3 linked regions of the Saccharomyces cerevisiae S288C genome follow. The protein of the gene in region 2 interacts with the protein of the main gene of each other region in a pairwise test. Each region holds a gene or a part of one and is shown on either strand. Other genes may lie near its edges.

Region 1 (9,224 bases), on a different chromosome or scaffold from region 2:
AAGGACCAAGAAAAGGAAGAGCGTTTAAAAAGTAACGGTAAAAATATGGAGTGGTTCTATGAAAAATTTTTGGGTAATATCTTCTAGATGCCTTTTTAATCAAAGCCTTAGGGCAACATGAAACTATATTCATCCAATCAAAAAAATGAGCACAAGAATTTCTCTTTGATCATTTTTCTTTTACCTTTAATAACAATCGTTATCAACATTTTTTATTTCCAGTCCTACCACAGCATTATTGCATAATTAATTTACAGGAAGATTTTCTTGAAAAAATAGAAAGAAAAATACCCATTTTTTCAAGGAAAATAAAATTTATATATTACATACATTTCTATAAAACAGTTTAAATTCAAAAATATAAACAAAAACATAAAAATAAGAAAAGTTCAAGTCTTCGTTATTTTCTGTTTGTGGAGTAATCGATCTTATTAACATATATGTGGAGACTTTTCAAATATAGCCACCTGCAACATGGAACCATAGTGTACAGGTATCACTTAATCCTCCAAATCATCTAATTCAAAGTCCGATGTGGAGAGTAGCTCGGCAGTAGCCACAACGTTTTGTTTGGAGGCTCTCATATTAATGACCCATATAGTAGAACTAACGATAACTGCCATACCGCACCACGTCCATATGTTTGGCCAGTGGTGAAAGAGCACGACATCCCAGAAAACAGCATATATAACTTGAGTATAAGTCATTAACGAACCCCTTCCTGCACGCTCCCTCTGGATTCCCATTGTTAACAGAATTTGGTGAATGAATCCAGAAATACCCAAGTTCAGAAATAGCCCCCACTGCTTCCACGAATGAGGCAGTTGTAAAGACATCGAGGGAATTAGAAGCACACCGAGGGCTGCCACAACAGTAGTAACCAACGAGAAATAACTGACACTCATGATGGCATGTGCCTTGTTACCGATATATCTTATGATAATGTAAACACTACTCAATCCGCAAACCCCCAATAAACTCACCCCGATAGCAATGAGTCTTAATTTGGGATTTTGAGTCTCAACAATATCGTCTTGTGGAGATTGCTGGCCTTGGGTCTGCTCACCAAACAAAAATGTAGGTCTAATAATTAACACCACTCCAGAAAATGAAATTAGGGACCCCAAGGCTTCAAGTTTACTAAATGGCTCACCCAGCAGTAAAAATGAAAGGAAAATGGTTAGGGTTGGCGACATGAAGGTGATTAAGACAGCGTCACTTATACTTAGATACATTAAAGAAAAGTACATTCCAAAAACACCAAAAAAACCCATTATACCTCGGAGTATCAACCATTTCCTGCATGGTGCTGGGCCCCATGGAATATCTGGAACACTTTGTTTATTCCAATGCATGTATACTAGCGTACAACAGTACGTGATAGACATCCTTACTAGCAGGATTTGCAGAGGATTAATTCTTGATTGCGAAGTTTCCAGTGGGTCATTTTCTAGGACTTTGGTAGAAACTACCATAGAAGAATTGAAAAAATAAGACACTATAAGTAAGATAAGTCCATAATTAGGCTTTAGATAATCTTTACTAATTCTTTGCAGCGTCATTGAGAGAGGAGGTGTTTATTCTACTTTTCTGTTGGGGCAGCTTTCGTGAATGTAATAATGAGATAATTTTCCCTGTCTCCTTTGTTTTTTTTTCCAGATGACTCAATTAGTGACTAAAGAAAAGGATGCCATATGGAAGACAGATATCTATAAAAAAAAAAAATGCTATAAATACTTTTTAAACTCAACTACAAAAGCGAAAATGTTTACCTTCTTTTGGAAGGTTTAGTAGTCGTATCTCTTTCAATGATTCCGCCTGTATCCTCCAGACGCTCTTCCTCAAGGGTCACCTGATCTCTTCTTTCCCACCAACGGTCTTCACATAACTCAAATGACTTCGTCTTTAACTGTTTACCCTTAAGGTTTCTGTTGTTAGAAATAGACCAGGTTAAGAAATTTGCACCTTCCCTTAAGTAGAATGCTCTTAAAGTTTCGAACGGTTTTGGGTGTGGTAGCCAAGACCTTTCGTCTGGAATCTCCATCTGCGCTTGTTTGTCATCGTCGCTCTCGCTTTCCTCATCTTCATCACCTTCAAGGGGTCCTGCATCTTGTTCCTCTTCGCCGTCGTCCTCATCCTCCTCATCGTCCTCGTATTCAAACTCATCTTCGTCCGAATCTCTATCACCTAGTCTCTTTGCTTCTTCGATGGCAGATAGGTCTTCCCAGTAAACCTTGACACCATCCAACTTGTTCAAATCTATACTATAAAATGAGTTTATAGGATAATCTTTTTCGCCCAGTTCCCAGACACCACTGTAAATGAACAACGAGTCGCCCACTACACAAGTTGCTGCGTTAAATCTTGGGTGAGGTAATTGATTTGAGATGGTAATATCTTCTTGGTTGTCCAAATCACTGTCATCTTCGTTATCTTCGTCGTCATCGATAGAGTTAGGACCCGTTGTGCTGTTGTCATCATTGTCATCGTCGTCGTCATTTAGATTAGACTTGGCCAGAATGGAATTTAGTAAATCCTGCAGTTCCTTTTCTTGATCTTTATTAGATTTTCTTTTACTTGTGGCGGGTGAATTTTTACTATTCGTTTGACGCTGAGGTTTAATTCTAAGTTTAGACCATTTGTTCAACTCTAGGTGGAACATATATAGGTCGTTATAGAAAACGGACTCTAAGGATTCCTCTGTCTCTTGTAAATCGTAGACACCACCAAAAGCAACGGACTTGTTTTGCTTCCATAGATTGAACGAATACCCGACTCTTGGTGAGGGCTGGTTCTTGAAATTCTTTAATTTTTCCCACTGCCACTTCTTTGGATCAGGCGTTAAGTTCAGTTTCCATGCATCATTCAAGATTTTTCCCTTCATTAAATTTTTATTATTTTTGGCAATGATTTTACAGTAACCACCCATTAATATGGCAGAATTATCTGTAGGAATGAAACAATGACCCGATCTAGCGTCAGGTTTGCTGTTTGTCTCCAATTTGGTCCATTTGTAGGTTGAGATATCAAAACACCACAAATCATTTAGGTAAGAAGTTTGACCATTCCCCAAATCTCTAAATCCACCAAATAATATGAAATAGTTTTTCCAAGCAATAATTCTATGACCTGATCTGGCGCTGGGTGAAGAGTCTCTACCGCCAAACTCCAACTTAGTGAATTTCCTTTCAACGCAGTCAAACAGCCATGTATCAGAATAGTGGTAGAATTTAGATTGTTTTGGGGACGAAAATTCACCACCGTGTAACAGTGCTATTCCGGAAGGATGCACAGCGACAGCGGCACTGGATCTGGGCAAAGGTGCATTTTGCGAAACGTATTTTTTCCAAGAGTTGTTCTTTATGGAGTATGAATACAAATCATTATAGAAATGTGTTAGTTTGGTTTCTGGATCTGTAAATTCACCACCGAAAATGAACAATTCATGTTTATTGTGTTGCGGATTTGCAAACATCAACGGATGAGTACGACAAGAGGGTTTTTCCACAGAAGTGATGTCTACATGCTCTAATTCAATTTGCTTTTTGCTAAAGCTAGAGAGAATTTCATCGAGATCTTGATCACTTTCATCATCTTCTTCGCCGTTTAAAGACTTATTCTTGTTCTTCTGAAACTTTTTCTCCTGCTTTTTTTGGTTTTTCTGATTCTTCAGTTCAGCACGTGCCTTTTTGGCCTCTTTATCCTTCTTATTCTTCTTTGCCATTAATCACTTCTACGAGTCTAGTAGATCTCTTCTCCTTCCTATAAGTGGTTAATGTATTCTTCGAGAAGCTCATCATTTTTTTTTTTCATTTTTTTTTTTTTTTTCAGTTTTCTACAATTTCATCAAATCAATGGTTAAACCGGGCAGAAAAACTACCAAGCGTTACTTTTACTGATGTTAGTACTACTACCGCAGTTATTGCGACTACTACATTAACTATAACTATACAAGAAAAAAAGTAAAGAGGGCTCGTAAAGCAAAGCTTGGTATCTCCTACATAGTCAATACATAGTAGTGAGTCGCCTATAGCCATTCTGTAATGCCATTTGTTAAGACGTGTCCTTAAACCCTTCCGAATCGCCGCGGGCGACATCATAATGTCAGTACCTAATAATGGTTATTATTCGTACCCTGTGGTTAGAGAGCTATGGAAGCTAGCAGTAAATGTCTCTAGTTCTTGCTATCACTACCATATTGGAGAGGCTTCAGGCCCCTCCCCTGAGCCGATCCTCGGAATGACTACCCCGATTCCCGGAATGGGCGTTCGATGATTGGCTCTTTCCTGTAAAGCCTTTTTGCGTTTCTTATAGGCTATATATAATCTTCATCACTGTTGTAGACGTTAAACAAGCATCCAACAGGAGGCCGGACCGAACACACGGGGGAGTGACTCTAGCTCTTTCTTCTGGGATATTCATATCGTTTCTCCATTACATACAGTCATTTTTTTGCATTTTTAAATTCGTGACTTTTAGTACTGCAGCTGTTTTTTTTCTCACGTCAAGAAATTCCATAAAGTCTAACTATTAAACGGATAAGAGATACAATCATGTTGAGATTTACCAATTGTAGTTGCAAGACTTTCGTAAAATCGTCATATAAGCTTAATATAAGAAGAATGAACTCCTCGTTCAGAACTGAAACCGATGCATTTGGTGAGATACACGTGCCTGCTGATAAGTACTGGGGTGCCCAAACTCAAAGATCCTTTCAAAACTTCAAGATTGGTGGCGCTCGTGAAAGAATGCCATTGCCTTTGGTGCATGCATTTGGTGTTTTGAAGAAATCTGCCGCGATTGTGAATGAGTCTCTGGGGGGATTGGATCCCAAGATCTCCAAGGCTATTCAACAGGCCGCTGACGAAGTGGCTTCTGGTAAGCTAGACGACCACTTTCCATTGGTTGTTTTCCAAACGGGTTCCGGTACCCAGTCTAACATGAATGCTAATGAAGTTATTTCCAATCGTGCCATTGAGATCCTAGGAGGCAAGATTGGATCTAAACAAGTCCATCCAAACAATCATTGCAACCAATCTCAATCATCCAATGATACTTTCCCCACTGTCATGCATATCGCTGCCAGTTTGCAAATTCAAAACGAGTTGATACCTGAGTTGACCAATTTAAAGAACGCCCTTGAAGCCAAATCCAAGGAATTTGACCATATTGTGAAGATCGGTAGAACACACTTGCAAGATGCCACGCCTTTGACACTAGGTCAAGAGTTTTCCGGTTACGTGCAACAAGTTGAGAACGGTATCCAAAGAGTGGCACATTCTTTGAAAACATTGAGTTTCCTGGCACAAGGTGGTACTGCCGTTGGTACAGGGTTGAACACCAAGCCCGGATTCGATGTCAAGATAGCCGAGCAAATTTCCAAAGAAACTGGACTAAAGTTTCAAACCGCCCCTAATAAGTTCGAGGCTTTGGCTGCTCACGACGCCATTGTCGAATGTAGCGGTGCTCTAAACACCCTTGCTTGTTCTCTTTTCAAAATAGCGCAAGATATAAGATACTTAGGGTCCGGGCCACGTTGCGGCTACCATGAACTAATGCTGCCAGAGAATGAACCAGGTTCCTCAATCATGCCTGGTAAAGTTAACCCAACCCAAAACGAGGCATTGACTCAAGTGTGTGTGCAAGTCATGGGTAACAATGCAGCTATCACGTTTGCCGGCTCTCAAGGTCAATTCGAGTTAAATGTCTTCAAGCCAGTCATGATCGCCAATCTATTGAATTCGATCAGGTTAATTACTGATGCCGCATATTCATTTAGAGTGCACTGTGTTGAAGGTATCAAAGCCAATGAGCCTCGTATTCATGAGTTGTTGACTAAATCTTTAATGTTAGTCACCGCTTTGAACCCTAAGATCGGTTATGATGCCGCTTCCAAGGTCGCCAAGAATGCTCATAAGAAGGGCATTACCTTGAAGGAAAGTGCATTGGAATTGGGTGTATTGACTGAAAAGGAATTTGATGAATGGGTTGTTCCTGAACACATGCTAGGTCCTAAATAAACGAGCTAAATACCTAATAATATACAAGTTTTTTATGTCTTATTATATGAAGGAAAATAAGGAAGTGGAGAGAATTTGTGATTCAGCAATGGTCCCTCCGCTAAGGTCCCGCCTCTGGCCAGTTATGTCAGAAGAGGAGCATAGGCATACATTCCATTTTTGATGGCTTAATGGGGCCCATAAATTTACATCACTACATTATTATTCCTATACAAGTTATAATAAAATAGTTCATAAATGAATATTTTGCGTCATTTTTTAATTTCTTGTCGTCGGGTAAGGGACCTAGTATTACCCGCATCACGGAAAGGGGAATTTTCAGAAATGATAACGAATAAGAGAGTACACCAGAAGAGCAAATCTCTTTAAGAAGTTTAGCAGCAAATATCGGTTTAAAAACAAACAAAAGCAAAGGAAAAGAACTACTAAATCTTCGAGGACTTTCCCAATTTTTAAAACGCTGAAATTGTATTAGAAGAGAATAACTGTCTAAAAAGAGCATGTTTGCATCCGCTGGACAACAACACCCTCAAATTGTTCCTAAGGAAGAGGAATCCATATTAAACTACCTCCTTGAAGTGAGATCCTCCTTGGCTAAACTCAAGCAAAATAGGACCCAGTATTTGAACTCTAAGGATGTCCAAACTACTTACCAACACGTCTTGACCAAAGTCAGAGAGTTGGACGATATTAGGAAGAATAGTCATGAGACGCCCGCTAAGAGCGCCGCCACCCTGATTCATAGTACTGAATTGCATAATAGAGTTGACTCCGTACTGGATGATGTCTTTCAATTGCTCTCGTTGTGTTTTTTAACTGTTGGGCTAAAAAATTCTGCACCTGCGACTTATGCATCGTTATCTACTGTGGAGAGTCTTTTGGAACATTTAAATGAATCAAACGTCTTCACCCATCACGATTTGAGTCCTATTAAGGAAAGGCTGGAAGAAATCAGCAAGATTGTCGAACAAAAAAACTCTAGTCCTGCGTACGATGAGGATGGAAATGATGACCGATTAAGGGAAATCGACAACGAAAGGAAAAAGAATAAAATTGAGGAAGACCTATTACTACGTGCTAAATTAAAGCATTGCAAGGACGAATATGATATATTGGAAGGCAAATTGGAGGAAATTGATCCGTCTTTGTCTACTGTAATGGAAAAGTTATTCCGAATTAGAAGAGGTTTATTGTCATTAGTTGCATCTGCTAAAAAAACAATGTCTAAATCTGATATTAATACCAACTCTTTATTGCAGGAACAAAATGATTTGCAAACGAACAATGAAAGCTTAACGGATGACAAACATTTAGTATCTCAAGAGTATGTCCATGAGAAATTATCAGTTTTGAAGAACGAATTAAGTGAATTAGAATCTAATCGTGACGATTCTGGTAAATTCAAGTCCTTGGAGTCTCATCAGGTGGCAGAAAAAGGCCAAAGTGTCCTTAATGGTTTATTGGATGATTGCCATGATTTAGTTAACGATTTATCACACCAAAAAAATGGCGGGTTGACTTTAGATCCATATTTACAGCCAATATATGAACAGCTGATTGATATAAAGACTACCTTAGAAAATTTAATGATCACAAGAAGATGGACTTTGAGAGAAACCGATTTATTTTCTTACCAAAAAAAATTGAACGAAATTGATAACAAAAGAATCAATGGTAAGTTTCCAACAAAATCTCAGGACTCAAAGGGGCAATCAATACTTTTATACCTGTTGCGTAGATGTTATGCCATAATTTATAAACTGTTGGAAAGTTCAGAGCCCGTATCTGAAGCGTTGCAGCCAATTCACAATCAACTATCTACAGTTCGTCGTTGCCTATTAGAATTGAAAAGAATGGGAGGTGTGAATAATGAAAGAGAGTTATACCCTTATCAAATGAAATTGGCTTCATTGGACAACCTGAGAACTGAAGGTATATTCTATGACTCTGATGGCAATATACCTGAAGGCCAAGGTATATTGAATGCTTTATTAGCAGAATGTTTTGATATCTTGCATGAATTAAAAGTGGAAGCCGAGGAAAAAGCACAGAACTCTACTTCAAGTGATGGTTCTGACGACGATGACAACGGAGAATCAGGCATAGACTCGAACTCAAACGACAGCGAGCCTGAATCTGAATATCAACAGGAATAGAGGAGAGTGTTTCTTTATCTTCCATTTCTCCCTATTTTCTTGGTAGAGGAAAACATTATAAACAATAAAATGAAATACAGAAAGAAAAAAAGTTATTCTCTTATGTCTATGTATATAACAAACCCTGAATGAGCATCTATATAAAAACAAAAATATATAAACAACTTTATGTCATTATCATAATTGTCAATGGGAGGGGGGAGAAAAAGAGGAATAAGGACATACGTACCCTGTGTCTTTGTCCATGCACCGTAGAAATTGCTTTTTTTATATATTTTTCAGACATTACGTCAGCCTTATTGTATAATCATCACCACTTTGCGTGATATATCTTACCCATGGGTAACTCTTATACTGCAATTTGGGTTCGTTAATTTTAAGATAACGTACTTGAATACCTGAAGTAGTAAAGTAGGGTATTTGAAATTTGATTTGGACAGGTCCCTTCAAGATTTCCGCGTTACTTTTTGGCATTGTTCTATTGCCATCCTCGTTATTTGATATTGAAGGCAGTCCCAATTCGGCAGACATTGAGTACTCTTTACCACCGGGAAAACTTCTTATTTTCCATAAGATTGCACTTTTTTCAGGGACATACTTTAGAGACCCGTGTGAATATTTAAAAGTCGGTGTATCCGCGTCGTCCGGGACCGGTATCAATATCTCTACATTAGTTGCAGTAGATTTTCTTTTAATTTGGGCCTTGGCCTTACAGTGAATTTCAATTCTAGAATTCGAATGAACTTGAACGTTTACATCACACCAAATTAACGGTTTTATCGTAGTAGATAGTCTGTAGTTCATTAAATCGAACTTTCCATCAGGAGGTATAAACGTTATAATTTTTTCATTCTCGAATTTGCTTAATCGGACACATTGATGAAATTTCAAATCTTCCAATTCAATATTAACTTTCTTCTTGTTTGTGGCCGATGATGATGTTATTGATGGTTTTTTATCAGTTTCTGTGTTATTATCGGATGTTGTCGCGCTCGCTGATGGGATATTTGTATCATCATCCAAATATTTGGAGAAAATGCCTTTATCA
Region 2 (11,034 bases):
CATCAAAACAACCTGTAGCATAACACCGACAAGTCCCACATAATAAAAGACAGCTCCAGCAGCATACCTCTGGACATCATATGCTTGAGATTGAATTATTGTACCCACAATGTAAAGTACAATGGATACAAGAAACAACGTTAGCCTTCCAAAGATATCTGATAACCCTCCAAAGATCACCTGTGAAACAGCAGATATCATTAGAACTATGACGCTTACTGTAGAAATGAGAGAATGTGCGGAGTACGAGTTCATTGCGTAGGTCATATATGTACCCCTTATGCTGCTATCTAATCCATAAGCGAAAGTGCAAATGAATGCAGAAAACAGGAATATAGCTTTTAATTGCCAAGTATCATACTTTTTAGCCATTAGCTCAGACTTACGAATAATCAATGATTTTGTTCCCTTTAATTTATCTTTCATTTCATCTCTGGGCGACGAATCGTCATCCATCTTTTCATCAACCATCAGTTCATTACAATTTTTTTCAGTATTCTTACGCTTTGTTTGGCTAGAACGATTGTCTTCTGGGACTTCGATCATATTTCCTTTGGCCCAAAGAGTTACAACTGTTTTTGGAGCTCAAGTGGAAAGGACACAAGCAAAGTTCTTCTACCAGGATCTCATGTCTTTATAGAAAAAAGTAAGGTGTAAAAAGGCTACTGGGTAAAATTCACCACGTTATCTTCTTAACTTGCCCTTAGTGAAAAGCTGTATCATTTCAGCTTCTGTGCAGATTAGTGAGTAACTGTCTTAGATTTGTGGAATCGGAGCACAGAAACTCCAGTAGGGTTGTTACGGACTACGTTCTGAAAGTATATTCCGTTTTCTTAAAGCAGGTGCAAGTTACTGGCATAACAGGACCCATCACTTCAGCCACAGCTTTGCTTCTAAAGATATATACGACATACTGGTAAAGCACGGAGCCCTACGGACGCTCAAAGTTATTCTTTTTTTTTTGTTCCTTACTGTGAACTAAGAACTGCACCCATTTTCTGATTGCTTGCTTGAGATAGGTGCTTATATACCGGGTGTTTGTATATAGCAAAGGTAGAGGGAGAACGGATTGCACACAACCCGGCCTGACAGGGAAATTTAATATCTGCAGGAAAGTTTCGTATGATCCCGGACGGGAGGGAAACCTTTAGAATTTAATAAAAGACGATCATTGGACTCACATAATTTAAATTAACAAGGAAAAATATTGCTAGGTAGGTTGTCGACAACTCAATATATATGAAAAAAAAAGAAAGATGCTAAAACGAGGCTTTTTTCTTTTGGACAAGGGGAGTCCAACCGCCCTGCATAAGTTTATTCAGCCTGTGAATGACTATAAACCATATATCATACTTCTTGCTTCTTTATACATTTTTTTCAATGGAAATATTTATATAGAAAGGGCGCTGCGCTTTTTGAGGTGAATGTTTTCATTTTTCAAGTTATTCAGTAGCGTTACCCAGTTGAGTGGATAGAGAATTCAAGTTTAAAGCTCATCTCAAACAAACAGTAAAGGATTCTACGCGGTACAGACTTATTTCCTAGTCGAGCATGATTCGATCATTGACATATATCCCATCTCTTGATCTAAGACTTGATCATTTTCTTTAAATTAAGAGTTTTGGGCAAGTGTAAAGCAAGGGTTAAATGATTATGTAGTTATGGAAGTACCAAATTCAAGTTCGTAAGAGGCTTGCTTTCTACTGATATATAAAACGCTCGACCGATTGGTTCTTCAATTGGTATAGCTAATAACTATAGCTGGACTAATTAAGACTTCAAGGACGTCTTACGCAAGCGTGGGTGATTTTATTATTAAACAATTTTTCTGTCTCTATACGCATATATGTTCTATAACATAAATATGTAATGGATACTAACCTTTTTCTGTGATTAACTTACTCTTTGCGTTACACCTCCATCTGACTCATAAAACAGGAAGACTCAGATTTATTAACTTTAGCATTTACGCCGCAAATGGTAAATGCTCCGGCCCGATACCCTGAAATAGCAACATGTACGAAAGAAGGTATTCAACTGAAGCCTTTTAGACAGACAAGACTATTGGATTATCAAGGCACTATATTTTACCACTACAGTAAATACTTCTGATAAGAACGGCATGAATAATCAAGTAGGTTTTATAATACTGGTATACATTAATATAATCAACTATTTATACTATCAAAAAAAAAAGCTTTTTTTTTTTTGTTTTTTTAAGTTTTATGGAATTTCATTCGTAAAGGCGTTTGTCTCTAGTTTGTGATAGTGTAGATACCGTCCTTGGATAGAGCACTGGAGATGGCTGGCTTTAATCTGCTGGAGTACCATGGAACACCGGTGATCATTCTGGTCACTTGGTCTGGGGCAATACCAGTCAACATGGTGGTGAAGTCACCGTAGTTGAAAACGGCTTCAGCAACTTCAACCGGGTAGGTTTCAGTTGGGTGGGCGGCTTGGAACATGTAGTATTGGGCCAAGTGAGCTCTGATATCAGAGACGTAGACACCCAATTCAACCAAGTTGACTCTTTCGTCAGATTGAGCTAGAGTGGTGGTTGCGGAAGCAGTAGCAGCGATGGCAGCGACACCAGCGGCGATTGAAGTTAGTTTGACCATTGTATTTGTTATGTTTGTTATGTTTGTTAGTGCTGATATAAGCTTAACAGGAAGGGAAGGAATAAAGACATATTCTCAAAGGCATATAGTTGAAGCAGCTCTATTTATACCCATGCCTTCATCAGTCATCACTACTTAAACGATTCGTTAACAGACGCTCATTTAGTACCTCGCATATTCTCCATATCTCATCTTTCACAGAATTTGATTATCACTATGAAGATGTTATTGTTTTTAAACGAGGCATGCATCTTTATAGATTCCGTATGCGAAGGTATTGTTTTCTGGGGCCTTTGTCTATTCGTATGCGCAGAATGTGGGAATGCCTATTATAGGGGTGCCAGAGTGCCTTATAAAACCCTTTTCCGTGCCTTTGAAGTTTCCGTTTTCGGTCAAAAAGAATATCCGAATTTTAGATTTGGACCCTCGTACAGATTCTTATGTTTAAGCCCATATTCAATTTGCTGTAAACAGCCTCCAATGGAAGAGGTAATACTATATTATCCCTCTCCTGATAGTTTAATTAAAAATAGAAAACGTGTATTGGGAGTCGCTTATTTGTAGAGTTTGTAGTTTTTAAGCGTTCTCAGGAAATTCATTGACGCAATTACGTAATTGTAGGCCGCTGAGAAGCAGCTAGTATTGGAAGAGCCGCGTATGGTAAAAAAAAAATGTTGAGTTCAGTTTGTAGCAGTACTACAACTCTGTGCGGTGGGAAAAATTTATTCTTCGAGGCACAGTATTTTTCTTCTAGCTAGATATAAAGAAAAGTGAAAAAGGCAATATATGGCGCTAATGTATTTTATTCAATTAAAAACTTTCTGTAGGAAATGGTATTAATAGTTGGTATTCCTTGTAGACAAAACCATCGCTATATTCATGGTGACGGCTCATCTCTAAAGCTTCTTAAATGTACAGTCAGCTAAGTGTTCTCATAAGAAAGGGTTTGAAGAAGTCTCCGATAGCGTGCTTTAGTATGTTGACGAAAGAAATCAAGATCTAGCTTATATGTCATAATGAAGTAAGTTATATTGGAGTTTTTCTGGTAAATTCTACAAAAGTTATGCAACATACTTATTTCTGTCCTCTTCTTACTCGTCTTGCGGCCAAAACTCGAAGAAAAACATACGGGCCAAGAAAAATGATGCAATCCTCCCAGTTCTAGATATTCCCGCTTTTAAGTCCCGAATTATAACAATATAAAAAGGATATAGAAAATGTAATTGTTAACTTGTGGTATAAAGACAAATTCAAAAGCAAGTGAGGGCCCGCTAAGGCTATGAGTTCAGAATTATTAATATCTAATTCTAAACCAAGACCAGAAGGATTAAGAAAATTATGCGAAGGTGAGACAGTGATCCTTCCAAGGGACATAACCCCCAGCAAATGCGCTTATTTCTTAAAACAGAATATCGTATTCATTTCATATATTTTCATCCATATTATTATTACCATAATCTTAAACCGCCTGGCATTATCTGCACACGGTAATACTTTGATTATTATCTTAGCGGCTTTACTAATTACAATTTCACTATTCCTTTTACTCCTCTTACCTTACTTAAGCTGCTCAAGATATAAGTTAAGATGTTTAGATGATGATTGTAAGTTCAAACTATTAGCGGAAGTCATTACACATAAACCTAACATGGACTTGAGCACATGGGACCGGATTGCATATGACATGAACCAATTTGTATATGACCGTCGTATATGTGCAGATAGATCTTTTTTCTACGATGGCAGTTATTGCTATCAGGTTTTTAAAAAGTTGGTGGCTACCCCGTACCTTGTGAATTCCAATATGAATAGTATATATGCTGATCTGGAGATGAGAAGTAATGGAGCAACCAACATTAACGATTCTGGTAATAGTTCATTACACATCGAATTGGGCACTTATATTTTTAAAGCATTGGCCGTTTTCAGGAACTCTGTTGACAAGTACTGGGAGGATAAGTATCCAGAGATGGGGGTCACAGTTTGATTGGAAGGTATTTCTAGGTTCTACTTTAGTTTTTTATAACGCATCCAGTACAAAGAAATGATATTGGTATTTGGAAAAGTCATTGAATATTCTTGAATAGATTATAAGTGAGCTTCCTTTCTGTATCAGGATATGTGGCTTAACTTTAAACTCGTATAATAAAAGTACTCGTATTTTTGTGGGATGTTTGCCTCCGTAAATTTATAAATGGCAACAGGAACACTATTATAATGTAATGTTACAATATTACTTTTACTGTATAAGTTTAATGCTTTATAAAACTAGATGGCAGCTTCTAAGTTGTGGCTTGTGTCGGAGGTTCAAGCTGTCCTCCAAGTTCAGCGCAGCGATTATTTGCAAATTATCTACGTAAGGACTATATAAACGTTTCGATGCCCTCTCTTCACATCTTTTGTGTCGAACCTCGAACATCGAGCATGCATTGTCCATTTTTGAGCCAGTTTCTGCTTATTCTCGTATTTCAACAATAATGTTGTTGCATAATGTACGCACACTTTGTGCGGCATTTTATAGCTTACAGATACAGATGAATTTACGAGCTGTATAAAAGAACTACAAGGAAGTTGTAACTGCAAAAAAATGTCACCGGGACGATATCATCACAAATATGGAGGGCCGCAAAAGTGAAGATGAAAAGAACGAAGCCGCTTTAGCCTGTGATGTCTTTGAATCCTCCAATGCCAAACTACCAAAGAATGTATTCAGAAGTTCCTTTACTTGGTATTGCTATGAAGTTATCAATAGGTCAGCATTCCATATTTGGTTATTGTTATGTTTAACGCTCATTGTTGGTTGGAAGGTTTTTTCAGGCATCGGTGGTAGAAGACCATCTGACTCAAACATGGACGGCCCCCAAACCAAACATAAACGGAATCCAGGTTTTTTGAGGCGTCATTCGACCATCGTTATCTTAGTTATATCTTTAGCAGTGTCTTTCTCATGGGAAGCTTTCAAAATGTATCGTGAACGCACCTTCGGGAAACAAATCACTCAGTTTGCCAAAGAAATTATTAAAAGTGCGCCAAGCACAGATATGGAAAGCTGGGACCGTGTTGCAGCGGATTTTAACTCTTATATGTACGAAAATAAACTTTGGAACACAGAATACTTTTTTTGTTGATGGTTCTAGCTGCCATGTAGCATTTAGGAGAACCCTTCTATGGATTTCCTCAAGAATTGACGGCGACTATAAAATAGAATATTTTAGGAAACACCCTTATATTGAAGAAGCCCTTAAAGTATATTTTGCAGAAGTGGATAGAAAGTGGAATTTAAATACTTCTCAGCAATTGTTAAGCAATATTTCGGTTGGAAATATCAAACTTCCTGGTCAATCATGTCGTTTCAAATTATTTCATATTTTCAAGAAAGTCATGAAACAGCGTTTTTCTCAAGTAGCAACTGTTATATTCTTCGTCATGAGTATCCGTTCTCCAAGAAATCTCGGCTTTTTTTTTACTCTTGCCCTTTTTGTCGTACTTGTTTGCTCCCAGGAATGGTTCTCCTTTGAAATGAATAGATCTTGTTCAATGAAAGTGGAACATAGAATGCAATTTTTGTCAACTATAATCAGTGAACATCAGAAATCGGATGTGAATTGTTGGGACCAAATCGCAAAGAAGATGAATGTATACTTATTTGAGCAGAAAGTTTCCGGCTCAGACGTGTTTTTCTTAGATGGAGCAGATTGTGAGCGCTTTTTCGAACGTAATTTCCTCCGTTATCTACCCTCAAGAAAGTCTTCCCATCCTGACCTACCAATTGCTGAATTGTTGCCGTATATCAGAAAAGCCGACATTGCCTGTGCTGGTAAGCAATTGATTTAACTACTGAAGTTTGCCTTTGGTTTGAAAAATAATTCTGCCAGCCAGACATGTTTTTAATAGCGCTAACCTAAATAATAATAAACAGCAGTGCGTAATAGACTTATGATACTACCTGATAATTAGTTTGACGTTTCACTTCGCAGCCTTTTCTGGTCTGGCCACAAGACTATATGGCATCAAGAAAGGTGTTTACGTTTATAACACACGTATTGTACAAGCTTTCTGCGTTGGCTTTAGTGTCTGTAGAAAATTATAGAAAATTCTAATTATGTTTTAAGGTTAAGTGCTAGTGGTGCTCAAAATAAAAAACTGTTTAGTAACTGCTCGTGTAAAATGGAAGTACTCCAAAAGTCCCTTTTCTTACTGAATTGCGCCGATTTTAACCTTTTAATTCGGATGTTTTATGTTTTTTTTTCTACAATTGCACCCGTTTAGTCCAAGGCATATTACATTTCGATCTGAGTTTAATGAATAGGAAGAATTTATTACATAGCATACCAGTCCCTTTTAATGGCACCATATTTTGTGCATATGTGATACATTGGTAGGCCACAGTGCAGATCACACACATCAGTAGCGCATAATTATTTTTTTGCCTGTTCAATTTAACTCTGCGCAAATAGCGCATCTCTATACGCACATATCCGATTTCAGCACGAACTATACTGCGGGAACTGTAAAACTAAAAGACATGGTAATAATTTTCATGTTTTTCAATCCCTTACAATGGACAATCTAGCCAATGTCCGAATCTGTAAAAGCGGTAGATGAAGAGATTACGAAGACAGGCAAGTGAAAGATTAAGATAACTTGCTACAACATATGAAAAGGCTTACTTTAGGCTTCAGGCACCCTATAGAGGCCAACCACTTAATAAATTCTTGGCGTAGTGCAATCAAGCAGTGAACAGAAACAAATCACATGTTTCCTTGGCAGAATGCTCATATAAATGATGACGTAATTTTTACAAGAATGCCATATATTAACTTTTTAGGGCCAAATTAAGATTGAGTTGAAATATTCATTTTTACACTACTAATCTTTTTGAATGCGCGCAGTTTTCTAAGTATCAAGCTCTCTGCAATCTTGTATGAAAGATGCAGCTAGGCACATAGGAAATGAGAAATCATAGTTATTTTTATTTTTATTTCTCTCCGTAAATATGCACTTCATACAAACAAGGAAAAAATATGATCAAAGAAAGGCAAAAATAGTAAGTTCAGGCAATATAGAGAAAATAATTTATTTCTACAAGTAGAGGGGCGCAGTAGAATGCATTTGTATAGCATAGCCAAGTCAACAACAATACTGCGTTTTCTAAGGCATATTTTATTGCCATTTTTGCATCTCTCTATTCATTTTACTAGTTGCTTGTGCAGAATAATCTATGTTGGCTGGAAAAGTTTTTGGAAACATTTTTTTTTTTGCGGGCATAAAATAAAAACTCCGCTGTTCATCGCTTCCTACGCAATGTTCTTAGCCAAGCAAAAAATTATAGTTACAATGTTTGAGGTTTCTTCCGTTCTAGAGAAACTGCCGCAGAATATTTTACTGTTTCACTACCCTCTTCCTTCCAAAATGGGAAATAATTTATTAATGTCGTTCTTAACACAAAGATCGATCGATGAAAAGGAAATTGATGCATTATTACATCCTAATGCGGTCTATCGTTTCTGCAATATGAGAACCACATTCAGAACATTATCCTCATATGGCAAATAAACGAGATATCAAGATACCGGACCCCCTTTTTTACAGTAGATAAACCGGAGAATACCAGAGTATTTTCCAAATATAGAAAGAAAAGGGTTATTTCTAATTCTCGCTCTCTGTTTTTGGAAGACGAAGTTATTAAGTTTTTGCCTGCATTTGGAAACCTGCTGCGATTTCCTCGATATTGAAAAAAAGTAAAGGCCACAAGAAAAAAATTTTATAGTTGCCTTGGGATGACAAACAGCTGGATATTATTATTATTGGCAGTAGCCCTAGTATGTTGTAAAAGAGTTATTTACAAGATTTTCTTTTTACGAGGGCACGTTATAACGTTGGACTCAAGGGGAAAGTTTCTAAAGGCACAAATAAACATTATGGGCTTATGGAAAAGGTGCCAGTGACGTGATGGTTACGCCTCGCCATTCATGTTAAACGATGTAAATTACTTCTATTACAGGATATTTTCTTGCCTTCGTTTAGCGTATTATCAGCCCTTTTCTCTGTTTTACAAATAAGGAAAGCGCGACGTCAGCCAATGTGAATACCGTTTATGGTTCAACCTTGTCTACATTTAGCTACTTTTTTTTCTTTTTCGAAAGCATTGATGCGTTTGCTCGGTGATTACATCATAATTAGTGAACACACGCAGCAAACCGTGATCACTGCGAGTATTCTACTCTTGTCATCCCAGACTACAAGTAAATCATACTATCTCTTTACAAGCTGAATGGAATGGGGCTTAGCCGACTGGAAGGATAGGCTTGCCAAGGAAAAACAAAGAAAAAAAGGCGAGTGGATTTAAGATTCAGCGACCGCCTGTCTTCCCTTCCTTTTTCACCATAGTTGACATAACACTTTATCTTGTCTTTATATCTCTTCTCGAAGCACTTATGATAACCGACTTCAAAGTCAAGGTACATAATTATTCAACGCCTCTAATTTTTCACTTGTTATGAAGCAAGTGCTGAGACAACTGGCCAATCGATGTTATAAACAGGCAGAACAAAAGAAGTAAAGATATTACTCTGTTACGTAATATTAAGTAGTGCCGCACTATACATGTAGATATGCATATACTGTTATGGTAAAAGGAATATGCAAAGAACTAGACATTTCTGATCTTTTCTTTTCTTGGTTATGATCATTAGAATGGTAGAGTCTTGTAGAGAGGAAAAAGTAGGAGGTGACACCGTATATTTTGGGCAATATAGTCATGGAAAGTGATATCAAGCAATCATGCAACGTAAACATCAACTTATTCCCGTTTAAAAGTGAATTTTGATGGAAGTTTTTCAAACCAATCCAAAATTGGATCATTGTCTTTCGTGTCGACATATTCGCCATCCTCGATGTATTCCACAGCAACAGTATCAGTCAATTTAGGATCCCTTAGACATAAGGAGAATGCAATTAATGGAACACAAAATACTAAAGCCACGATAGTTTCCAATCTTTGAACGTATTTGTAAGCGTTCATTAAGGCATTCCTTTGTGGGGTACCCCAAGTATAGGTTTCAATGAAAGTATATGGAGATTCGTAGGCAGTTGTGGCTAGAGCAACATCACCCATTCTCTTCAAAATTTGTTTGTACAAAGTCTGAGTCCAAATGGCACCGGAAACTGCGGAACCGACAGCAGAACCAATTCTATAGAGGGTATAGTTTAAAGCTGTAACTGTCGCCATGTTTTCATGAGAGACGGCAGATTGTACAGAGACGGTAACTGGGTAAGTGAACAAAGTAGTGCCCACACCCCAGACACATAATGCACCAATAATACCTGAATGGGACTGACTTCCACCTCTAAAGTGGTACAATAAACCCATAGCCACCATCCATAGCGCGCATCCAAACATTATGAATGGTTTCAATCTCGTACATCTTGTTACAAGTAAAGCGAAAAATGGAGAGGCCACAGTAGAGACAAATGAAGATAATGTGGCAATTCTGGTTGCAGATTTAACGGATTCATTGACGGCAACAATCATAACCGTGTACAAATAATCAGCGGCCATATAGTAAATAAAATCAATCAGGAAAGAAATACCCATAGAAGACCATACAGCCCTATCTTTGACCAGCCTATATGGAAGAATTGGATCTCTAGCGAATCGATATTCCCAAATCCATAAGATAGGGATCAAAACAAAGCCAAGAACAAAGGGGCCGATCAATCTTGAATCATTCCAGGTAGTTTTGACCCCACCAGCCAAGGTCAGTGGGACCAAGATACAACCTAGGGAACAACCCATCAAAAGGACACCAACGACATCTAACATCCAAAATAATTGCTTTAAGATCTTAATAAAACCATGTTCTTGATAATAGGACTTCTGGCCCTTCAAAGCGTGCCATTCAGGAGTCTTTCTGGCCCTCCATTGCATGTGCAACATACACAAAACGATTGGAACACATGATAGGGGAAAGATGAAAGCCCACATACCTACATCCCAAGACCAGTTGACAACAGGATTGGCTCTGGAAGTGATATTACCAGCAATCCATGTGTTGATGATAAAAGGCCAAGTCGGGACAAATTGATACAGCAGTCTCCACTTTAAAGATGAAAAATCGGATAGGATAATCAAAAGAATAAGGATTACACCCACATAGCCAGCATTGTAGAAAATGGCACCTGCAGCGTATCTTTGAACATCATAAGCTTGTGATTGAATAATTGTACCCACAACATATAGGATGACAGCACTAATGAAAAGGTATAGTCTACCAAACACATCAGACAACCTAGCGTATATGATTTGCGAAGCGGCACTGACCACAGCATTAATGACGTTGATTGTAGACAGCAGAGAATGCTCACTATAGGATGATGTGGCGTAACCAGTGTAAATATAACGGATGTTACCGTC
Region 3 (10,880 bases), on a different chromosome or scaffold from region 2:
TTGAACTGGTTACGAGGATTAAGATTTTTTTTAATTGCTTGCAGCAGGTTGATGGGCATAATATTCAGCGTTTGAGGGATATTGAAAAGAAGCTCTTTCCGTATATTAACTTTGAAAAATTAGAAACTGATGAAAGTGCCTTCTGGCACACAACTACGAGATGGAATGGCGAGGTTTACCATGCGTCTATGTTGGAATTTGACCCCAAAAACCATCAATTCCTTCGTTCTAAGCCCATCAATTTCGATACAGGGCTATCTTTTTGGGAGAATTGGTTGCACACTGTGACTCAAAGTGGTTCGAAAGGCATAGTTATTAGTGCTTCTGACGTGCAGTTGAATGAAACCATACGCTTATTGAAAGTGTTGAGGTTCATCAAAAATGATTATCCTATACAGATTGTTCATAATGCAGATCTGAGTCAAGATTCCATGAAATCTATTATCAAATATGCGAGAAGTCTAGACACCGCTGAATATCCTGCTCAAGAATTATGGTTTTTAAATGTACATAGTCTGCTAAACCCGAAATATTCGAAAAAATTTACCACCTATTCCAACAAGTGGTTAGCATTGACCTTCTCATCCTTTGAAATTCCTATTCTAATGGACTCAGATACAGTGCCCTTTGTTTCAATAGAAAAATTTTATGAATTAGAGGAATTTCAAAAGACTGGAGTTCTATTCTTTAAAGATCGGGTAATATCAGATGATCTATTTGAATCCTCTGAATTAAAAATTCTAAGGGAAATTGTCTATGGGTGTATTGGGCTTGATTTAGAGGATGAATCCAAGATACATGAGCAAGTAGAGGATCCAGTGGTTGCACAGGTTCTGGAAAACATGTTTATAAAGAAATATAAACATCATTTGGAAAGCGGCCTGGTAATATTGCATAAAGGAAAGCATCTCTTCAGTATGCTTACTTCAATAGCTTTACAATTTTCTCCAATTGCAGAATATTTTCATGGTGATAAGGACTTTTTTTGGCTGGGCGAATTACTTTCGAACAATCGCTTTACGTTCCATCCTGTGGATGCATCAAACATTGGTCAGTTGGGCAATGTAGTTTCAAAAGAGAGTACCGGTGAGTTTTACCAGATTTGTTCTGTGCAACTATCTCATACAGACAGGGACGGGTCCTTGCTATGGCTAAACGGGGGCCTTAATATTTGTAAAAAAACTTCATGGGAATACGATTATGAGCATAGACAGAGACTAAATGATATGTTCCAAAATGCAGATGAATTACGTGAATATTATGCATCACCAGTAAAACTTGAAGGGATTATAATACCAGATACTAGTATATCAGGATGGATTAACTCAGGAGAGTGTTTTTTGTTCAATTATTGCACATTATTCAAGGAAGGTGAGTTTGGAAAGTTGATCAAATTTAAAGAAGACGAAAAGCTCCGGCTTTCACAAATAGTCGACATATGGAATAAAGATATTTGACCAAGAGTTGTTCTAGTCTTATAAGCAATAGGTAAACCTACACGCTTTTGTTGTATAATGTAGTATAATTTTTGATATCTGAAAAATTATCGCACTGAAGTATAACGTAATGTTTTGTAACGAAGTTACTCTTTAAGTAAATCACTCTTGGCATGCATTGGATAACATAGCCATGATGCAACGCCAGCAAAAATCCAAATTGATTGCAATAGGGAACTATGAAAAATCTGGTACTCCCGGCCACGCTAAAATGATTTTCCACTAAGGTGTTCCTAAAACCTTTCGGATCCTTTATGTCTCTGGCATCATAAATGTCTGTTTAAATTAAAGTATATTGAATTGGTGTTGAAATTCAGCATAATCGAACCACTCTCATGTGGGATGTAGCATCATTCTTAACGCTTTTACTATGCGATCGCCACTTTTAAATGTTGGAAATTGTGAATAATTTACTTTTATCTTGTAGGCAAACCGATCATATTCTGCAAAATTTTGAAAATCCATATCTAGATGCACTGTATTGCACTTTTATATTATAAAGAATTATATGTAATAAATCGACAATAAATAACGCATCGTAACAAAAAGAACTCGAAAATTTTAAATCAGGGTCAGAAGAAAGTAGAAATGCCTAAAGGAAATCGATTGTACTTTACAGTTAAAAATAACTTCCGCATGGCTTTCTCAAAAGATTTTTGTCTATAACGAAAATAATCAAAACATATCTATAAGTGAGGATGTGAGAAAAGATTAATCAAAACCAGCTTCTGGTGGACAAACGGCCTTTAGCTGAATGGCGGTACAATAATCTGGTAATGTGTCATCCTTACCGAAAATATTCACAGCTGGGGTGCTTAAGATAACAGAAGCAAAATTTGGGTAACAGGAAGCAACTTGAACGCCATAATCGGTAGAGTTGAACAATTGGTTAGCTAAACCGGTTATGAAGGAAGCGTTATCAGCAGTGTCTGCCCAAGAGTTATATTCAATTTCACCAGTAACAGTGTTAGCAAAAGGAACCATAGCGTCACCAATGGATTGAGGGTTACAAGTGTTGATATTGGTGGTGAAGATGAGTGGAGAAAAGTTCTTTGTCTCGTTACTAGCAATAGTAGTCAACTTTGGGAGGAATCTTGTTTCCTGGCCCAAATATCTTGCCCAAGCATCACCAGCGCTTTCAGTCAAGACGTCGGCGCCAACAAACGTAGATTGACCCAAAAATGTACCGTTTTGACCAACGACTTCCATAACGTAGGTACCACAATGAGGTCCATGTAGGCCCTTACAGGTAACGTTAGTCAAATCAAATCTGACGGTTGTTGCAACAGAAATAAGGACGCTGAAAAAAGTAAAAATGCTTAGGAAACTCATGGTATGGTTGTTGTTCTTGATTTCTTGAGATTGTACAATCTATCAGAAGCAGTAGCTCTCCATTTTGAATGAAAATTACGATGCTTATATATCAATTATACCTGTTATATGCTGAAAACCTTAATGATAATATTAACCTTTTTCTAGCAACTGAAAATACAGATCTGGAATATGTTTCTATATTTCCAACCTCAGCGGTTATTCGAAAAAAAAAATAATTGACCCGCAGGGTGTATAGGTAGTTGATGAAAGTATCATTGTTTTTAATTTATTGTTAAAAGTCCGAAAAGCGAGAATGCATGAAATTACTACCTTCCATTCCAGGAATAGAAGCAACACTAATTCAAAAGCCCGTTTAGGAAAGATCCGAATATTTTGACAGTAGTACGTAATGAATAACCACTCAGGTCATACTAAGACAAATTTTATAACATTTTAATGTGTTCCTGATTTGATTATGCAACACTTTTTTTGACCCAGTCCAAAAAACTGCCGTAATGTACTTCATTGGTTGTCGTACAAGTAAGCTTTAACATGGTTCTCGAAGTCAAAGCACAAACATGCGGCCAATAGGTCAAAATAATGGTAAGATACTGCAAAACTCACTTCACTTGATTGAAAAAAAGTTGCTTATTTCATGACGGACAGATTTAATTCTGGACAATTTGGTTCTGTTGAATTCGGAAATGCTCAGGGTTCATCATGCCATAGTGCCACTTCAATAGAAGACAATACCTTTGAGAAAAAAAGGTACCTTGCATGAGGTATGATGCACGGGTGCACTGTTTAAAAAAACTTCAAAGTATACATGTAAAGATCGCTATAGCTGAGCGGCCAATTAGAAAATATATGGTAAAAGAAAGAAGAAGTATTAATATAAGCGAGATATCTCAATTGGAACATTTCATATACGTTTTCACTGTAATAATTTATCAAGGACTCTCCGGAAATTTTGCGATTGCCCTCAAACTCTACGGAAGAATTTTACACTTGTAAAACTCATCACATTATCTATCGTAGCGATAATATTTCCAAAAATGTATAATCCTTCCTTATAAGTTTATTATTTGTATATGAAGCCGCAGAGTACAATGTAATAAATACGAATAGGAGATAGGACCTATGAGTATAACTCGTATTACCACTATAGCTCCTCTTGTTGTCTATCAAAAAACTTGCTGTCTTACACAGTAGTACAATGCGAAACTATATGGCTCTTCTTTAATTATGAAAGAAAATAAGATGTGAAGCACAGCAATGAATAGGAAAAAGAAGAACGATATATGCAACCTTTTTTTTTTTAGGGGCCATTTTGCTAGAACTGCCCCCACTTGGGAAAGAACTAACACCATCGCCTTGCATTCCAGTGACAAGCAATGATGTGTACTGTGAAAATTCTAAATACGAGGTTCAGCTGACATTAATAAAATCTCCTGTCCCGATGGAGCTATCAGACTTATATACCGACATACTGGAGTATCCTGGAGCAAGGGGTGGCGCTGGGACACTATCGGAGATAAACTCAATATATTAAGTCATTCAAAGTCGACACACAGTAAAGTATCCTGACTTTTGAGCAGTCAAAAGTGTAGCCTTGATCATCAGAGTTATATTTCTCATTAAAACTCTTAATAATCCAATTTACAAATTTTGTAGGTAAACAGAATATGTACCGGAATTTAATGGCACTGGAAACTGAATATCTACAACACTTTTACCATACAAGTTTGCCGTCCAAAATTGCAACACTCTGTACTGTGATAATTATTCTTGAGTTTGAATCAAGGGTATTATAAGCTTGACGCATAGGATGTGTGCAGAGCTCTTCTGCGTACTTACTTTTATCGACTGCACCGAATAAGATGCTCCCAAAGTGTACATTAGGTCCATTCAAAAATAAGGAATACGATATCTTCTTTTCGATCTTTCCTTGTCTTTCAAATGCCATTAGAATTCTCATATACGAAGAGTTTTCTGTTCAAAGCAAATGCATTTTCAACATTATCTGTAAATTCTGCAAGGGGAAGGGATATGCCTAAAATGCCACTTGGATTGCCCATTTTATAATTTAATAGGCCAACAATGATATTATTTAAGGTGAAAAATTCTTTAAAGAGACAACGTCCGTACCATAGGTTCCTTCTAATACGTATATGTCATTGAAGAAAGTCGCGTTATTCTTAAAAGTAGATGAGTTTCTTGCATTGAATTTACCCCTATAAGAGCGGACAGTGTTATAAGCTCTGGTGAGGTGGTAGTAGAACGAGGCCCAGTGAATGTTGCCGTGAGTTCGTAATTATCAGTTGAAGCGTAGTCAGATCCGTCAGACATCGATTTGCAATAGGCAATGTCAGCATTATTCACAATCATATCTGAAGAGCCAGTATCTAACTGTAGGTACACCGTTTGTGGAGGCGTTCCGATTTCCATCTTGACAACATACACTCCTATTCCATTTATCACTGTGGTGTTAAGAACCTCATTTCTTTTGAAGACGGTAGAAACATCCTGTGTGCCTATATTTATAATATCAGCAAACTTTTGAACAGGAAACTTAACATAGGAACTTGCGGAAGACCCTAAAACGGTCAATGAACACATCAATGATGACAACAAAGAGAGGATGGAAAACAATTGCATATTGATAGCGTTGCGTTGTCTTCAAATATCCTTATTTTCGAAAGAGACAAAATTTAACAACTGATCAACCAATGAAAATAGAGAACAAGGAAGAACGATGAAAAACCTTATTCCAAGATCATAACACCTTATATACTCTCAACTTTGAAAGCAGTTCCAAAGCTTAAATCCTCGAAGAGTACTGCTTGCATGAGGTTTACGCAACAGGTCTAGTCAGTTTTAACTCCTCGGATATCTCTCGAGATATTTTGCTATAGTGAGCGATAGGGTAGCAAATTTTTGGACCCTTAACCCCTTATACAAATTACCACCATATGTCCTTTTCTGCAGCGAAAACCTCGGTGTTGTCAGAAACAATTTAAGAAAAGCACAGGCGAAATTGGGCTTGCACTGGGTGATCAACAATGCCAGAAATATATGAGAAGCTTTTTACTCTTGCTTTTGCTTCTTCCTCTTTTTGTTCAAGCCAGCCAAGCTATGTTATAGTGTTGAATGTCTTGAACCGTTATAGTTTCTAAATATAACTTTACATTTTGTTATGCAATCTTCATCATCTCGAACTTTTCAACAAACGTTCAACAGTGATGGTCTTCCCCAGTGAACCAAAAGACATATGACGCTCGTATGGTATGTTAAAAACAACATAGAGGATAGTAGGTCGGGGTTTATTGTAGAAAGGACATAAATAGTTGACGTGGTAAATTTTCATCAACTAAAGCCACATCTATTTTGCCAAGTAGGAGATAATATAATATGTAGAGGGATCGAGATTTACTGAAGCCTCACGTGAGGGCAATCTGGAATCAGATTGCACTGGTTTGCACCATACCTCTCAAAGAAGAAAACGTACTACTTTTTTAGTTGAGTATGAATAGGGTAGTGTTTCCTAAAGTTATAAGGTAAAAGGGGCAGAGGAAAAGTCGATAATAATTTGAAAGAAACTTGCTTCCATATTCACAAAAGAGCTGGATACTTCATGTCATCTGCACATATATCTACAAAAATTTCAGCTTTTTGAGGTTGATACTAAGTCTTTCGCTACCAAAATGAAAGAAATCAATTTGGAGAGACTTAGGCTGAATATTTCCGCGTTCTCTCTGGGAATGAAAGATTTCTTACTGCAAAGAGTTTCAGTATTTACGAATTGGTTACAATTTTTTTTTTTTATCATACACGATTCTTTGAACATCAACTTCTCTCAAAACCATCCGCCTTCAGCGGCTACAATTACGTAATTGCACCAAGGCATTCGCGGAGAATTCACAAATTTGCAGACGCCAACAGTATACGACTCCCAACACACGTTTAATGTTGTACGAATTCAAGAGATAGAAATATTTCTTGCATGGAAGCCGTTTAGAACAGACTGAGTATGGGCTTTAACAATAAGCTTCTGTACGAGGGTCCAAATCTAAAATTCGGATATTCTTTTTGACCGAAAAAGGAAATGTCACAGGCACAGAAAAGGGTTTTATAAGGCACCTCGGCACCCTATAATTGGCATTCCCACATTCTGCGCATACGAATACACATGAGTGCCATAATACAATACTCCACATACGAAGTCTATGAAAGATGTATGATTCGTTCAGAAACAAGAGCATCTCCATAGTGATAATGAGATTGTGTGAAAGATGAGATATGGAGGATATGTGAGGTGCTAAATGAGCATCTGTTAACGAATCGTTTAAGTAGTGATGACTGATAGAGGAACGGGTATAAATAGAGCTGCTTCAACTGTATGCTTTTGAGAATATATCTTTATTTCTTTCTTTCCTGTTAAGCTTATACCAGCACTAAAAAACAAAACAAATACAATGGTCAAATTAACTTCAATCGCCGCTGGTGTCGCTGCCATCGCTGCTACTGCTTCCGCAACCACCACTCTAGCTCAGTCTGACGAAAGAGTCAATTTGGTTGAATTAGGTGTCTACGTCTCTGATATCAGAGCTCACTTGGCTCAATACTACATGTTCCAAGCCGCCCACCCAACGGAAACCTACCCAGTTGAAGTTGCTGAAGCCGTTTTCAACTACGGTGACTTCACCACCATGTTGACTGGTATTGCCCCAGACCAAGTGACCAGAATGATCACCGGTGTTCCATGGTACTCCAGCAGATTAAAGCCAGCCATCTCCAGTGCTCTATCCAAGGACGGTATCTACACTATCGCAAACTAGAGACAAACGCCTTTACGAACGAAATTCTATAGACATTGGTAAGTAACGAAAAATAAAATATAGAAATAAAAAGCTCTTTTTGATGATATAAATACAAATTGTAGATAAGTGTAATATAAATAAAAGATCTGACCATATATTTAAGCCGGAAAAAAATCCCAACACCAAAATAAAATGTAGAATAGATGAATAAATAAAATTTTCAATTATAAAAATAGAAAATAAGTTAAATTTGACGGCTCCATTTCTATTAAAATTGAAAGTATATGTGAAAAAAAATCATGCTAGGGATGTCTCTCACAATTCAAAAATCTAGGAAATAAATTTAATTATTTGATATAACATTATAAATCGTCAACAGAAGCTTTTTCCTAAGTCTTAGTAGTCAATGCTTTCAATATTTGCGCATCTTCTTTCATTGATTTAAAGAAAGATTGAAAATGTCTGGCTTTATAACTTTAACATCAAATATAATGATATCGTAGTAAGGTTAACCTTTTTTTTCCAATATTTCATAACATAATCGCAGATGGCCTTTACCACAATTGTATCAATAACCACAAGCTGTCTCTTCGCATTGAGCACCATCTTTGTTGTCATTACAGAAGCCATCAACCCCCCATATGTGTTAAAATATAATTCACCGTGGACAGCATTTTCATCTCCAATGTCAGAGTAATTCTCTTTATATCCTGGATCAGGATTATCAGTTACCGACCAGTAATATTTCCACCCTGGATTATTTGCGAACCAACCGAACATGCATTGATCGTCCTCCTCCCCAAGGAGGGGCCTACTTTTTTTTACCTCTTTATTAAGATCAACATTTACATTGTCCCAATTCCATGATATCCAATTGACGTCAAAATAGCTTATGCGTCTCTGCAATGAATGTGCCCCAGAAAGAGTATCTGGTAGCGATCCAGGTGTTTGAACACCTATTATACTGTTGACCAATTCAGTCACATTATTACGCATGTGAGTGGCACATGAAGACCCAACTGACTACTAAAATATCAAACATGCTGCATTTCTGTAACTGTGTTATTTTGTTCTCTCTTTTCTAAGCCATTAGCCTTCTATGTGTTCATATAGTCAAATGCTCCTGATAATACAAGACCAACTGTTTGCATGGTGGTGTTGATTGCAGTGAAATTACGAGGACTTGAAGAATGGAAGTCTAATCCAGCAATAGTAGCAATATATCCAGTAGATCTTTTTTGCCGCTGCTGCCGTCAAAGCCGCTGCCCCAGCAATCGTATCAGCAGTGGTAGCAACTCCATCTAAAGCATCTGCTACCAATGTAACTACAGCTCCAGTCCAGCATGAGTACTACCTGAATCTGCTGTACATTTGTTAGCGGCGTATGCACCGGAGAGTCCTGCTAGCGTAATTGAAAATCCACTGGCACCACCTGCTAACGCCCAATAGTAGTTTTGCCTTTCATTAGATAACTAGTCACCACAGGTGAGGCAATTACCGTAGTATTAACTATAGCTTCTGCATCTCTTGAACGAAAATAATAAAAGGAAACAGCAAATACAAAGATGAATAGCAGTATATTGCGTCTCCAAACTCTCCAGCAGATCTGAAAACGCTTAGCGCCTATTTTCTCTTGACCAGTCATGAACGTTAATTTCTGAAAAGGATCTATCTCCCGCTGGGATACTGCTACGATATTTCTGTATAATAAAAACTCTTGGAGAAAAGCAGTCCTTTAAATAGTGAAAGTTCACCGTAAGATTTCAACAGGTGTTTCGCCCCTACTCAAGCGATAAGCAACGCACAGGTTGAACGCGAGATATGTTAATAAAAGGCAGACAGATGTCGGTAATAATTATTACGGACATTATTTTGAAATATTAACTCAACCGTATGAACCAAACACGACGATAGCTGCAATTTCTTTAATGCGTACTGTATAGCAACGTACATCAAGTAAGAAAACGAAGTACTCCAAGAAAATGTTAATAGTAATAAAATTTATTATGGGTAACTCATACCTTAACGCAGTACTAGAATATACATTCGTTACGCGTTTGGTCTTGAAATAGTAATAATATCTTTCACGTAAGGTGTTTTACAAAAACTACCGCATTTTCTCTCAACAAACGTTAAAGGATGTTGGTATGAGGAAAGAAAAACGTATAAAACTGGTTACGGTATGAGCTTCAAGGAAGCTTCAAGTAATCTCATGATATGGCGACCGTACAAGCACGTACTGTGTAATTTTATTACGATGTATAGTGGCACTCTACAGACTTCATCAAATATTGCATTATCTACTAATGTTTAAACTTGGGTTATTAACAGCTTTTTTTTGGTCTTTAAGAATAGTATATCAATATCTTTACCAATTACACATCATTGCAAGCTGATTGTGCTTCTTTTATATATGGCCAGAGTTCAAAATCAGTGGAACCAACTGACAAAGACGCTTGCGAAGATACAGGGGTACTGAAATACCATTTAAAAAACTTTTCACAATCAATACCATCTGAGAACAGTATTGGCGAATTCCAAATTTTCTGCTCAAACATGTAAGTATTCGTCCTCTTCGCAATTTGAGACCAATTAGTTGCATCAGACTTCTCGTGTCCACATGTAATATATGACAAGAACTGTAGTTTATGTATCAGATTCATTGATTTGAACCTGAATTTGTCGATCCCTATTAAATATTCAATTATCATAGATGAAAGAACTGCACATACATAGAGGATATGCAGTGAATTTCTTAGTCTTGGTATAGTAAGGAGACCGTTTAAGTAAGCAATACTGAAGAACGCAAAGCGTGAATTCATTATTGTCACTTCCTTGAAAGCCCAGAGAAGTTTGGAACCGTAACCATGTTTCGAAAATTGAACACTCTGTGTGGTTTTATTGTGTAAAAATCCTTCAGAATTAATCCAGTGCCATTTTCTCTCTATCTGTGTAAAATAAACCTGCAAAGCTTTTTCAGTGTAACAAACAGATCCGTCAGGTACCTTGGCATTAGCAAAGTCATTTTTTTTCAAGGAAAATGGCTCAAGAAGCATCTTTCTGAACGCTTCTTGGCAGCTGGAACCATCAAAAAAAAAGTACTCAGTATTCCAAAGTTTATTTTCATATAAATAAGAATTGAAATTTACTGCAACACGTTCCCAGTCTTCAGTGTCTATACCCGGAGTATTTGTAATGATCTCTTTAGCAAATTGAGAAACTTGCTTTCCTAAGGTGCGTTCTCGGAATA

Evidence for each region.
Region 1: the proteins of YHL042W (region 2) and YPL264C interact in a protein complementation assay, tested with the Saccharomyces cerevisiae proteins (one large-scale study listed by BioGRID).
Region 3: the proteins of YHL042W (region 2) and YPS5 interact in a protein complementation assay, tested with the Saccharomyces cerevisiae proteins (one large-scale study listed by BioGRID).

What each region holds. Positions count from the first base shown.
Region 1 is NC_001148.4:42,783-52,006, forward strand, and holds YPL264C (uncharacterized protein), read right to left. Parts: upstream 1,563-9,224; coding exon 501-1,562; downstream 1-500. Other genes in the region: DIP5 (dicarboxylic amino acid permease), read left to right, coding at 1-87; KEL3 (Kel3p), read right to left, coding at 1,769-3,724; fumarase FUM1, read left to right, coding at 4,554-6,020; YPL261C (uncharacterized protein), read right to left, coding at 6,214-6,522; CUB1 (Cub1p), read left to right, coding at 6,521-8,176; APM1 (Apm1p), read right to left, coding at 8,462-9,224.
Region 2 is NC_001140.6:9,668-20,701, forward strand, and holds YHL042W (uncharacterized protein), read left to right. Parts: upstream 1-5,999; coding exon 6,000-6,452; downstream 6,453-11,034. Other genes in the region: ARN2 (siderophore transporter), read right to left, coding at 1-546; seripauperin PAU13, read right to left, coding at 2,256-2,618; PXP3 (Pxp3p), read left to right, coding at 2,835-3,182; DFP4 (DUP240 family protein), read left to right, coding at 3,898-4,605; ECM34 (Ecm34p), read left to right, coding at 5,234-5,746; YHL041W (uncharacterized protein), read left to right, coding at 7,725-8,174; ARN1 (siderophore transporter), read right to left, coding at 9,421-11,034.
Region 3 is NC_001139.9:3,058-13,937, reverse strand, and holds YPS5 (Yps5p), read right to left. Parts: upstream 5,469-10,880; coding exon 4,971-5,468; downstream 1-4,970. Other genes in the region: alpha-1,3-mannosyltransferase MNT2, read left to right, coding at 1-1,457; VEL1 (Vel1p), read right to left, coding at 2,208-2,828; YGL258W-A (uncharacterized protein), read right to left, coding at 4,543-4,776; YGL260W (uncharacterized protein), read right to left, coding at 6,848-7,078; seripauperin PAU11, read left to right, coding at 7,286-7,648; YGL262W (uncharacterized protein), read right to left, coding at 8,099-8,626; COS12 (Cos12p), read right to left, coding at 10,006-10,880.